Xenopus tropicalis: one gene and its partners. The protein of the gene in region 3 interacts with the protein of the main gene of each other region in a biochemical or structural test. Links are inferred from orthologs where the notes say so. Each region holds a gene or a part of one and is shown on either strand. Other genes may lie near its edges.

Region 1 (4,313 bases), on a different chromosome or scaffold from region 3:
GTGTGGCACATTTCTTTTTGTTTTGTAATACTATGCATATCGGACATCAAACAGAATTCAGAAGACCCCTGGCATTCACATTAAGGATGTTTTCTTTTGTACATAAAGATATGCGGGGCATTTGATGCTGGAGAATTCAAGCTTTGAGACACTTTTCAAAACTTTCATCAAAAGTCTAGAAAAGGTTTGCATTTTGTTAGTTTATGGTAAAAAAAACATACTTATTGATTTTGAATTGAAATATACGGTTTCTGGGGTCCTCTTTTATTTGGGGGTCTTATAAAACAGAAATACAGTATTCACCCATTTTAGAATAATCAGATTATGTATATTTTGGCATGGGATTATGGATAAGAATTTATACGATAGATAATGTTATGGGAAATATCATTAAGGGCGAAGACAGACGGAGCTACTTAGTAGCAGCTACTTGTCACGGCTACAAAATGCCAGAAAATACCCTGTCATAGACAATAGAATTGTCTCTGCTAAAACACACGTAAAGACAATTTTCAGTAAATTATCAGCATTGTCTATTTTTGTAGCCGTGACAAGTAGCTGCTAGAAAAACTCTGAATGTCTTTACCCTAAGAAAAAATCCTTACAAAACTCTCCTAAACAAAGCAATTAAAAGCTTATCCAACTCTCAATATAAACTGATCATCATATTCAATTAATAGCAAAATCATGGCGTACTATGAAGTTGGATTTTGCAGTGATAAAAACCAATATAGATAATATTATTGTGATGGAAAAATTATAGTAGGATGGCCTGGCCAAAATCCGCTCCCACTTGACACCCCTTTAAGAAAAGGGAAAGTTGAACCAAGTTATTACACATTATTAGATATTATTTTATTAATTTTGTTTTGATGTTTTTCTTCTATTTTATTTTTTAGTATTGGCTGTTACAATCTTTATTATACAAGGCAATATATGGCCTGATTAAAGCTGCCTATGGACCAAGTCAGCAGCTTATTGCCCATGTGTGGGGCCCTCAGACAGGCCTACTGGACCCATATCTGACCAAAATTTGGCCAGATGTTGATTGGGCAGGTTTAAAATTCCTGTCGGTGAAGTGGTCCTCGTCCTATTGACCTACATCCCGTCATTAAGTTCAATGCTTTTTTTAGATTATTCCTTCTGACATCCAGATGATCAGTTTAAAGAATGGCATGAAAAATTCCAGTTGGGCTGTGGCAAAGCTTTTCTTAAACAGGAAGGGAACAATCCAAGCTGTATATTCACTATGAGATTCCATTCAAACAGAACAGCGCTCCTAACAACAGAAACATCAGTCTCATGTTCAGATAAATGGAGCAGGCTCATGAAAGAAGTTAAAGTGGTTAAAATTTAACCAAGATTGAGATGCACCTCAAGAGGATAGAGAGCAGTGTGGGCGGGGGGCGACTTTTAACCTGCTGATTCATACTGATAGTAGTGCTCCTAATAGTATATAACATTATTATTCCTCAGCACAATCCCAAGGCAGGTGGATCCCGTGAGATTCCGTCTGAGTTACCAGCATGTCTAAAGCTTTGGATTCATATTGTGGCTCTATTTTCTGGGTGAGTTGAGTGCTTAATATTCCTAGTTATTATCATTGTCTATGGCTATAATATGGAAGGTGTTGGTTGGTGAATAAGGTGGTTGTTGCTGGATATAAATGGGATAAACATGCTCATGTGATACTCCCGTTCTTTTTTTAGTACATATAGTGGGTCAATGATCTTTGAGCAGGGTACAATAAATTTAGGCTTGAAGTGTATGAGTGATGTGTATTATGAGAACTTAATAAATCCTGTGTAGGTATTTCACTGCTTAGTTCTATTATCCAGACTCCTTAGGGTGTAGGGGTTAAATATTTCTACCAAAAGACAGATGTAAGATGAAATAATGTATTCAATGGCTCTTGAAAACAATATAAATGTGCTTTTTGGTTAGTTAATTGATCTATTATATGATTAATTTTTGTATTCTGACGGTCTGTCTATAATTATCTGTCTGTCAGATCTGTCTATCATTATCTATACATATATTTATTTATATACATGTGGCTACCCTCAACCTCAGGGCAGGATCATCCTCCAGTCATTAGGAATCATTGTCAGGATGGTTCTAGCCAGGGACCCATGTATCAACATATACCTTTAGGGCTAAGGTCCCACATAGAGATTAGTCACCCCCGATAGATCTCTGCTACAGCGCACAACTAATCTCTCTGTGGGACATTTTCATTTTCCCCCTTGTGTGTTTTTTAATAAGTGAGTATAGTTTTTTTCCCCCTTTGCTTTTATCCCTATCCACCTCAGCTTGCAGTGTTAGCCTTTCTAAACCTTTCAGGCTAGCTGGTCACAACCTTCCTTCTATCACCCCCTTTAGATCTCCTATTATGCTGTAATCCCACAAAAAGTTGTCCAACAGAGCATGTCCCCTTGAATTGCTTGTTGACTGTATAGACTGATACCTCAAATAATGCCAGTATAAGTAGTGCCCCATACTATGCTCAAATAATATATGGTAACATTGAAACAGAAGATCCCATTTAATCTACCCTTTATCTGATTAGCTTCTTGGTATATCTTTATGCAAAACCATGCCTTTTTTCAGTATAGATATATGAAATGTGCTATCAAACATAACAATACAGTGTGTATGGGTCAGTTCAGCAGGGGGTTGCGATATATAGTAACCAGTGGAAGTGAGTACTCCAGTGTAAATAAAGCACAGAATCCTCAGTTCCAATCATGGAATTGTTCAACAGCGATATCAGCACAGTAGTATGATCCCTCACTCAAGTGGCCAAGGTGCAAATGCTCCTAGCCTGTAACTTGTAACCATAACAACGAGTCCTCGTTTTAATACCATGTGTTATTAAAGCCTCACCTTGCAAGAATCTGCGTCAGTTTACTGTTCTTGTAATAACTAGCCCTTATCTTAAAGGGGATGAATTCCCCAGTATTAAAAATGAGCCAAATAAATAGGATTTTGCTTTTTCTTAATTTGTTTATAGAACACCACAAATGGAGAATCAATGCGCTCATGCTGAACTTTTGCAATAGAGAGAGGTAATCATATGGGCCTATGCTTCCTATTAAAGGGACTGTAACACCAAGAGATGATAGTGTTTTATATGCATTGAAATATAATGTACTGTTGCCCTGCACTGGTGCAACTGGTGTGTTTGCCTCAGAAACACTGCTATAGTTTATATAAATAAGCTGCTATATAACAATGTAAGCAGCTATTCAGGCTGAATAAGGCAAAAAAGGCAAAGGTTACACAGCAGATCACAGATAAGCTGTATATTATACAATGTGTTTAGTTGTTTCACAGGAAGTTAAACAGAAATTAAATGCAGTTCATGGCTCTCTGAAGGACTATAAAATGAAAACCTTTTTCATATAAAATATTTGTTGCCAACAAATAGTTAATTCGTAGTTGTTGGTTAAACAGATACAGATTTTATGTGTAACATTACTGCTCCTATAAGCATGTTGGAATAATATGCGTGTGATCAGTCTGAATTCCCAAGAGGAGGAATAATGGCTTGGAACCCAAACTATTCCAGAACAACTTCTGATTAACTCACGTGATGCCAGATATATGCCTGACACTATGATCTAAAAGCAGTTTATATGGTTGATGACCTATACCTCTGAAGAACCTCTTGAGCCAATGTTTGAATCGGAATTATCATGATTACGGAAGAGTTCTGATTGTGAGGTGTTCTACTTGTGAGGTGTCTATCTGCAAAGGCTTTTCCAGTCTTTTCCAGGCCAATTTAAGGCCATTAATGCAGCACAATAGTGTCCCAAGACATGACACATATATGTTATGGACCTTGTTTTATGGCAATATACACTTTAAGTTTGGAGGATATTGAGGATATGTTTCTTCTTTACCCACCTATTTAATGTTTGGACTTGTTTGTCTGTGCACAGCCCTATAATATCAGGTCACACAAACTGGCCACAAGACCAGGCCCTAGGTTAACTTCTTGTAAAAGGATTTTAAGACCACAGAAGGGAGGTGGCACAGTGTCTGTAAAAAACTCTAAAGGGAAGATACATATCTTTCAGAATGCTCTATCAGAGAGGTTCTCAACCTGTGGGTCGCGACCCCTTTGGGGGGTCGAACGACCCTTTCACAGGGATCGCCTAAGACCATCGGAAAACACATATTTCCAATAGTCTTAGGAATAATTTTATGGTTGGGGGTCACCACAATACGAGGAACTGTATTAAAGGGTCGAGAAGGTTGAGAACCATTGCTCTGTCAGACCCAGCACATGAGGAGAATAACACTGTCTG
Region 2 (4,392 bases), on a different chromosome or scaffold from region 3:
ATCTTTTGTCCACCACCAAGCCGGACTGGAGGCAGGAAGTGCTGCTTATAGTAGGGGGAGTAAAGCAAGATGAGCCTTTTTTTTGCTATTAAACTCCCAGCACCCAATGACCGTTGAATACGGGGGGGAATTCTTTAGTGTTCTGGGACCTGTAGTTCAACAACAGCTGAAAGGCCTGCCGAGTGAGTTTTTTGGGCCACATCACCACAAAAGCTACTACGGCAATGGGGTGATCTAAGTAGCCCCTTGCCCCCCTGGTACCACTAATATGTGCCAAAAGCAAAACTCTCACTTAATAATTACCTAGGTGGCAAGTTATTTCAGTACACTCACATACAATATAGCAGCTCTATTTTCTCTGTACTTTTTGCAAGTTTACTCTGCACTGAAGAAGAATTTGAACATATCTTTTATGACAGCTGTAGATACAATTACTATACATAGTCCGAAGGTTTATTGCCGACTTCTTTTCTTCCCATACATACAGTATATGCCCATGGGCTCTGCTCTTGGCTGCAGTGCAACAATTAGAAGAAAGCAGAGGTGCAACAATTAGCAGTATGGGGCCACCATAGTCTTCACCCTCCCTGCTCTGATTATTGCTTTGCCCTTGGGAATGGGTTAGCTGGTTGCAGCATGCCTTCATAGCTGCAACTCTGTACATAAATTACAGTTCTGACTGTTTTTAGTGTTTAAATGATTGACGTTGTTTCCTATTCTGTTCACTGCCCTTACCCATTAGCGCATAGTGCCACAATAGCCTCTGCAATGCAGAATAGGTGTTGCACAGATATCAGATACACTGGGCAAAAGAATGACAAGAAATAAATCATAAATAAAATACAAGTAGTAGCTGGTTATGTGACGCTTAAGGGTGAAGACACACAGAGCTACTAGTATATATACTAAAGTAGACAATGCTGATCATTTACTGATAATTGGCTGTACCTGTGTTTTAGCAGAGGCAATTCTCAGTATTGTCCATGGGAGGGTATTTTCTGGCGTTTAGTAGCTGTGAAAAAGAAGCTGCGACTAGTAGCTCTGTGTGTCTTCACCCTAAAGCAGGGGGATATGTAACACAAGCTATCCAACTAATCAATGGTGGGAATTGTACCTAAACATCAAACTTTGGACATAGCTAAACATCTGCCAATCGCAGAAAGAGTCCAGTAATGTCCAGTCAGCCCCAGTAGCTGTAGAATTCGAACTCTCGGGGGATACCAGGGGCTGTACTTGTACATCAGCAACTGATTAGATGCACTGCCGTGCAACTTCGAGCCCACCCTGCTTAAAGCCTGTAAGTGGCACCGTTTGATCCGCCGTGCAGTATAGCGCAGTATAGCGCAGCTAACTATTAGCGCAGGCAACTTCCGAAAGGAAAAGAGAAAGGCAGCGACCAGCCGGTGTTACGCGGTATCCCGCTCTTGCTCTCCGGGGATTGGCTGGAGCCCGTTGTGACGTAAGGGCGGGTGTTAATAAAAGAAAGCAGGCGAGCCCACAGCCCAGAATCAGAAGAGACTCTCAGGAGAGAGAGGTAGTTCCATGTCTAACGCCCCACAAACAGGACGGGCACAAATGAACGACACCGGGCAACTCCGCCTCCCCCATGGCTAAATGCGCTGGATATACGCGGGGCAGGAGTACTTTCAGCGCTGCGTGTCACACCCAACCGACTCCTAACAAGTGGAAGTAAAGTCAAAGGGACTGCAAAGCTATGGAACAGCGGGTCACCGCCAGCCCCTACCCTAACAGCACCCTCGAACAGCTGGTCTCCAACGTCTCCAACACTAGCAACGCCAGCGATAAGCCCGGGGATGCGTGGATGGTGGGCATGGGCATAATCATGTCTTGCATCGTGTTGGTGATTGTGCTCGGCAACGTGTTGGTGATCACTGCCATAGCCAAGTTCCAGAGGCTGCAGACGGTCACCAACTACTTCATCACGTCTTTAGCCTGTGCGGACCTGCTGATGGGGCTGATAGTGGTGCCCTTCGGAGCGAGTTCCATCATCCTGGACACTTGGGTTTTCAATAACTTCTGGTGCGAGTTCTGGACATCAGTGGATATCCTTTGCGTCACTGCCAGCATAGAGACCCTTTGCGTCATTGCAGTGGATAGGTACTTCGCCATTACCTCTCCATTCAGGTATCAGAGCCTCCTGACCAAGTGCAAAGCCAGGATTGTCATCCTGCTGGTGTGGGTGGTGTCCACACTTACCTCTTTCCTCCCCATCTACATGCACTGGTATAGGATAGAGGAGGAGAGTGCCTTGCATTGCTATGATGACCCCTCCTGTTGTTTTTTCTTCACCAACCCTGCTTATGCCATCTCCTCTTCCATCATCTCCTTCTACTTACCTCTGGTGGTCATGATTTTTGTCTACGCAAGGGTCTTCCAGGAGGCCAAAAAACAACTAAAGAAAATAGACAAAAGCGAGGGAAGGTTCCACAACCAGAATAACCAACAGGACACCAATGGTAAGCAAGGAAATAAAAGGACCTCAAAGTTTTGGTTGAAGGAGCACAAGGCACTGAAGACTTTGGGGATAATAATGGGCACTTTTACTTTGTGTTGGCTCCCCTTTTTTATAGTCAACATTGTCCAGGTGATGCACAAAGACTTTATCCCTGTCAAAGTTTACAACTTCTTGAACTGGGTGGGATATGTCAACTCTGCCTTTAACCCGTTAATCTACTGCAGGAGCCCAGATTTCAGATACACTTTTCAGGAGCTGCTGTGCTTAAGGAAACCGGGCTCCAAAGCCTATGCCAATGGGTACCCCCAGAGCAATGGGAACAGTGCATACAACGAAGACACAGAACCTTGTCAGTATTCTAAAGACAGGACTTGTGAAGTTTTATTTAAAGAGGAGAAAACTCCCAATCCCTCCCTTTTGAACTGTGAAGGTACTCTTCTAGATTTTAGCTTGGAACCACTGGGCAAGAATCATAACACGCATGATTGCTTATTATAGGATTGTCGATTTTTTTTTAATATTTGAACTATTACAACAAACTGGATTATTGCAATACAAGGGTCAACCAGATATCCGAATGTATAATACAAAGGAAAATGTTTTTATATGTATATTATATATGTATATTTTGCAGAAGGGCAGTGCCCATGTCTTGCAGAATGTATAAATTTATTATGAGAAAATGTACATTTCTGTCTATTTTCAGTTCCTCTTAAATTAAGGTAAGAGATCTTTTGTTATAATGTAATGGCTTTTATATTTTTATGTTGCTGCCCTGTGTACTTTACTGAAGAAAAATCTACCTCAAACCCTTAAAAAAAAATTGAATTCTAAGTTCAAGAATTCTGAAACTTAAAAAAAAAAAATCTTGCTTTTTCCCCCCTTTTCTACCCCTTAATAATACAAAAAACAGCTGCTGTTGGCGGAAGGGACAGGGTTAATTCTACTTTCCTTGAGATAGCTCTCCTGAGTAATGATGGGGTTAATGTGCTGAGCTTAATATTTTGAACTTTTGAAATTGCAAAAGTTGGGTTGTGAGAGATAGGAAAACGTATATTCTGTATAAGACTGATGAAAACTGTGTGTTGCAACCAGGAGAGACCCTTGGGGGTCATTCAGCATAGGTGCAAAAAGGCACAATTGCAGTAACCTATAGCAACCAGCTTTGGTTGGTCGTGTTTTGCAAGCTGCTGTGAAACCATGTAAAATAATATCAGAATAGTTGCTATAGTTACCACCATTGTGTACTTTTGCACCTGTAAATAAATTCTTTTTTTTCATGGTTTCTCAGGGAGGAAATGCAGTAAAAAAAAAAAAAAAAGTCGCAGAGCTAACTCAATACATTTCCAGCCACCCTTTTAGGTTTGTGCCAATCTTTGCATTCCCCTTTAACCCCTCTGTTGCAGGTTGGAAAGTGGCACTTTTTATAAGCAATTTGACATTTGCAGTGACTGTCACGTATACTGGAGCCTCTAACCAAAAGTGTATTTTAAGGATAGAAGGGTTAAAGGTCTAACTTAGTTCATCTAATTTTAGCAGTGAAGTCCAAAGTTGAGTGGAGGACCCATCCCCTTCTTGATGGCAAACTAATCTGTTTTTTCGGTGAGCCCAGCCTCCTAGATCCCTATTTGCGAGATAAATGAGTCCTTGTCTCCTAGATGGGGCAGAACAGATGTTCCTACTGCTGTTCTGTAGTGTCTGATCTCTGGCTGAAACCAAGTCCTGTCAGGGTAATTAATCAGTTATCTCTGGGTTATGAGCAAAATATGGGGCTTTCCAGATGTGACTGCACTACAGTGCTCAGCAGTTGCCCATGACAGTGGTAGGATTCTGAGAGTTGTAGTTCAGCAGCACTTAAAGACAAGCTTGCGGGTTGTTTCCTCTTGTCTCTTCAATGATTCTACTCAGTATAGATT
Region 3 (4,277 bases):
GGATGCCTGGCTCCCCCATCATTCACAGAACCCACCACCAACCAAACTCATGGGGAACAGGGCATCACAGCTGGGTGGGGGAGGGATTCCCCTATAGTTAACCCACTGGTTCTCCTAGTGCACCCTGACTTGTGTGGTTCTAACCGAGGGGCGTTCTAGGGGGACCCCATGTGCTGCACACCCAGCAGGGTTGGACTGGGGGGTGCAGGGCCCACCGGGGCTCCCGCCCCAGGGGCCCTGCAAGTGCCCCAGCCGCGTCCCCTAACCCCCCCAGGGGCCCCCCTAACCCCCCCGCCTGACGTCCTCCCCGAGCGCGTATAAATTGAACGCGTCAGGGGAGGAACAGTCAGTAGGGGGAGCGCCGGCAAAGGTCGGACTGGGCCCACTAGGGCGGCCCAGTCCGACCCTGGCACCCAGTGTTGGACCAGCCAACCATGATACCAGGAAAACTCCCGCTGGGCCCAGGGGTCAGTGGGCCTTCCTGCTCCTGACCATTTGGCCTGTTTCATGGTCATTCCCTATTTCTGAATGGGAAGAAAGAGAAGGAATAGATGGAAGAATAGATGCTAGCATGTAAATAAAACAGACTAGGAGAATAAAATGGTTGTGAAGAAAGGAGGATATTTTGGAGAATGGGCCCATGGTCTTAGGTTCTCTGGTGGGCCCCTGGGGTCCCAGTGCGCACCTCTGCCGCTTCCGAATTCAGCATATATATTGTGTCATGCACAGCTCTCTAGAATGGCACCCCGGTGAGCAAATAACACTGAGCTAAACAGCACAATAATGGTAGCCTCAGTGAGGGGCAGTGCCTGAGGAGCTGTATGAGGCGAGGGGCAGGTGCATGCCAGGGTACTGGGGAGTTGTACTGCTCCCTCCTCTCACATTCTTTGGATGCCTCAAGCTGCTCATTAATCTCCAGTGCAAAGTCCCCATGCTGAATGCACTAATTGCTCACTATTATAAACACTGCTGCCATCATCAACCCCCCCACCCCTCCCCTCACTGGCACAGCTCCACCCTGCTGCCTGAGGTGCTGCAATAATACTCTATGTTCTGTCATACTCAGTTGGGTCAGTCTATGTACAGGTTTATAGATGCTGCTTGGATGTCAAATGACCCATTAAAGTGGTTTCACTGACAGCAGACATGTAAAGATGCCACCTGTGCCTATGGGCCGTATTATATTCCCCGGGTCACATGACTCGGCGGCACTGATTAAACTTTACTCTGAGGGCCCGAATCCCGCGTAAGCTCATTGGAATAGGCGCGCCTCTCTCTGAACTTTCTCCTCCAATCACGTCCCTCGGCAATACTGTCCCCGCCCTCTTATTGGACATCTCTCATATTTGTCACCGCCGCGCCCTCCCTTTCGCTATATAATCTATAAGCTGGCAGAGCCTGAGTTCAGTCAGGCGCAGAGTAGCGGCTCGATATGGCTTCGGAGCGGGTGTGCGTGTTGGAAAAGGGGGATTCGGGCTACGGGTTTCATCTGCACAGTGAGAAGACCCGGCCGGGCCAGTATGTGAGGCTGGTGGAGCCTGGCTCAGCAGCTGAGAAAGCAGGACTGAGGGCAGGGGACCGGCTCATCCGGGTGTGCGGGGAGGATGTGAGGGAACTCGGGCACCAGCAGGTGGTGAGCAAAATCCGGGCAGCGACTGAGAAACTCACCTTGGAGGTACAGGGAGTAGAGGAGGAGGTGGCCCCCAGCTCCCCTAAAGAAGAAAACAAGGTACTCGGCTCAGAGCGAATTATGGGGGCAGCCTGGCGAGCCCACTGCACCTGGTCACATGACTTGCCTACTGGAGTCCTGCTGATAATAGCTTCCCCTTCAGTATGGGGGGGTCGGGGCAGTTTGCTGGCTTTATACGTAGTATCCTACCCCTGCTAAGTGATGCCATGCAGTGCCAGGGTATATACTGCTCTTGCTAGAGTTTCTAATGCTGAACTTGTGTTTGCATAGTGGATAATGTACCCCCTATTGTAAAATATAAGGATATTATAAGTCAGAGAGGAGTTCCTTATAATATATAGTGACTAAAGTACCCCCTATTGTAACATATAGGGATATTATAAGTCCCTGAGGAGTTCCTTATAATATATAGTGAATAAAGTACCCCCTATTGTAACATATATGGATTTTATAAGCCCCTGAGGAGTTCCTTATAATATATAGTGAATAAAGTACCCCCTATTGTAACATATAGGGATATTATAAGTCACAGAGGGGTTCCTTATAATATATAGTGAATAAAGTCCCCCCTATTGTAACATAGGGATATTATAAGTCACAGAGGGGTTCCTTATAATATATGGTGAATAAAGTACCCCCTATTGTAACATATAGGGATTTTATAAGTCACAGAGGGGTTCCTTATAATATATAGTGAATAATGTACCCCCTATTGGAACATATAGGGATATTATAAGTCACAGAGGAGTTCCTTATATAGTGAATAAAGTACCCCCTATTGTAACATATAGGGATTTTATAAGTCACAGAGGGGTTCCTTATAATATATAGTGAATAAAGTGCCCCCTATTGTAACATATAGGGATATTATAAGTCACAGAGGAGTTCCTTATATAGTGAATAAAGTACCCCCTATTGTAACATATAGGGATTTTATAAGTCACAGAGGGGTTCCTTATAATATATAGTGAATAAAGTGCCCCCTATTGTAACATATAGGGATTTTATAAGTCACAGAGGGGTTCCTTATAATATATAGTGAATAATGTACCCCCTATTGGAACATATAGGGATATTATAAGTCACAGAGGAGTTCCTTATAATATATAGTGAATAATGTACCCCCCTATTGTAAAATATAAGGATATTATAAGTCACAGAGGAGTTCCTTTACTATATAAAAGCATGAGCTGAAGGCTGACTTGTAATATCCTCATATTTTACAACAGGGGGCACTTTATTATAATATCCAAGTTTTAGTGATTTGTGTGACAGAAATTACATCACTGAGCTCTGATTATAACTGATGACATCACTAGGCACCGTTTATAAGGATCCCATAGGGGAGTGATCAAACTGTAAATTATAAAGATATAATCAAAGAGCCATGATTTCCTGTAAAATGGGTTCTTCTACGTGGTGCATAGTGATGTCATCAGTTATCTTTAATTTTAATGATGTAATTTGTCATATGACTCACTGTGTCTATAAAAACCGTACCACTATTATATAATATGATATTAGAAGTCACCATTTGTTCCATGACCAATAGAACGCCTTGTGGTTTTAGACTGGTCATGGAATGCCAACAACCATTGACCTCATGTCCTTATATCAGTGATCCTCAACCAGTGGCTCAGGGGCAACTTGTTGCTCCCCAACCCCTTGGATGTTGCTCCCAGTGGCCTTCAAACAGGGGCTTATTTTTGAATTCCTGGCTTGGGGGCAAGTTTTGGAGGCATAAAAAACAGGTGTACTGCCAAACAGAGCCTCCTGTAAGCTGCCAGTCCATATAGGGGCTACCAAATAGCCAATCACAGCCCTTATTTGGCACCCCTAGGAACAGGTTTCATGCTCGTGTTGCTCCCCAAGTCTTTTTACATTTGAATGTGGCTCACAGGTAAAAAAGGTTTGGGACACCTGCCTTATATGGATCTCTTTAACTTTTAATATCCTTATAATTTACAATTGGGGGTACGCTATTCTCCGTTTAGTGGATCGGCCACACACGGCAGCCAAGCTGATGATGGATGCCGCTGTCATTAGTGGGAAGCAAACTATGGGCCAGAGAGTAATCGGGACCCCACAGGGTATAAGTTCCAGGAAAGGCTTCTAGGAAGGGACTTTATAACAGAGGCTCGGCTGTCTCGGCACAACTATTCTAGATACAAAGTCAGTTGCAGCTCAACAAGCTTTTTGCCCCTGGGCCTTGCCAGCACTAAAGACAGCCCTGGCATGGCACCGCTCCAGTCTGGTGTGGCAGCTTCAGCTGGGTACCTGAGTGCCTCAGTTGCCTGGCATGAATCCTAGACTTGGGTATTTAATTCTTTCTATAGAGAAGGGTATATAGTACCCTATGTGTTGGTGGTGGTGGAGCTGTGCCATTATCCTGGATTGGCATCAATTACCAGCCTATGTACCAATCAGAACCCCCCCCCTCCTCCTCCAAGTAGAACTGACATATGTTTCTGAGTAATGCCCACTTTATCTAGACCAATGATCCCCAACCAGTGGCTTGGGGCAACATGTTGCTCCCCAACCCCTTGGGTGTTGCTCTCAGTGCCCCCAAACCAGGGAGTTATTTTTG

Evidence for each region. The genes of interacting proteins can lie anywhere in the genome.
Region 1: the proteins of slc9a3r1 (region 3) and abcc2 form a complex in vitro, tested with the Homo sapiens proteins (2 studies listed by BioGRID). The link is inferred for Xenopus tropicalis from reciprocal best matches to the Homo sapiens genes NHERF1 and ABCC2.
Region 2: the proteins of slc9a3r1 (region 3) and adrb2 form a complex in vitro, tested with the Homo sapiens proteins (3 studies listed by BioGRID and IntAct, with this or other methods). The link is inferred for Xenopus tropicalis from reciprocal best matches to the Homo sapiens genes NHERF1 and ADRB2.

Annotation. Positions count from the first base shown.
Region 1 is NC_030683.2:35,437,844-35,442,156, forward strand, and holds the start of abcc2 (canalicular multispecific organic anion transporter 1), read left to right. Parts: upstream 1-1,425; 5' UTR 1,426-1,526; coding exon 1,527-1,568; intron 1,569-4,313. UniProt on the Homo sapiens protein: ATP-dependent transporter of the ATP-binding cassette (ABC) family that binds and hydrolyzes ATP to enable active transport of various substrates including many drugs, toxicants and endogenous compound across cell membranes.
Region 2 is NC_030679.2:41,027,418-41,031,809, reverse strand, and holds the start of adrb2 (beta-2 adrenergic receptor), read left to right. Parts: upstream 1-1,504; 5' UTR 1,505-1,714; coding exon 1,715-2,974; 3' UTR 2,975-4,392. UniProt on the Homo sapiens protein: Beta-adrenergic receptors mediate the catecholamine-induced activation of adenylate cyclase through the action of G proteins. The beta-2-adrenergic receptor binds epinephrine with an approximately 30-fold greater affinity than it does norepinephrine.
Region 3 is NC_030686.2:43,959,039-43,963,315, forward strand, and holds the start of slc9a3r1 (Na(+)/H(+) exchange regulatory cofactor NHE-RF1), read left to right. Parts: upstream 1-1,413; 5' UTR 1,414-1,432; coding exon 1,433-1,729; intron 1,730-4,277. UniProt on the Homo sapiens protein: Scaffold protein that connects plasma membrane proteins with members of the ezrin/moesin/radixin family and thereby helps to link them to the actin cytoskeleton and to regulate their surface expression. Necessary for recycling of internalized ADRB2.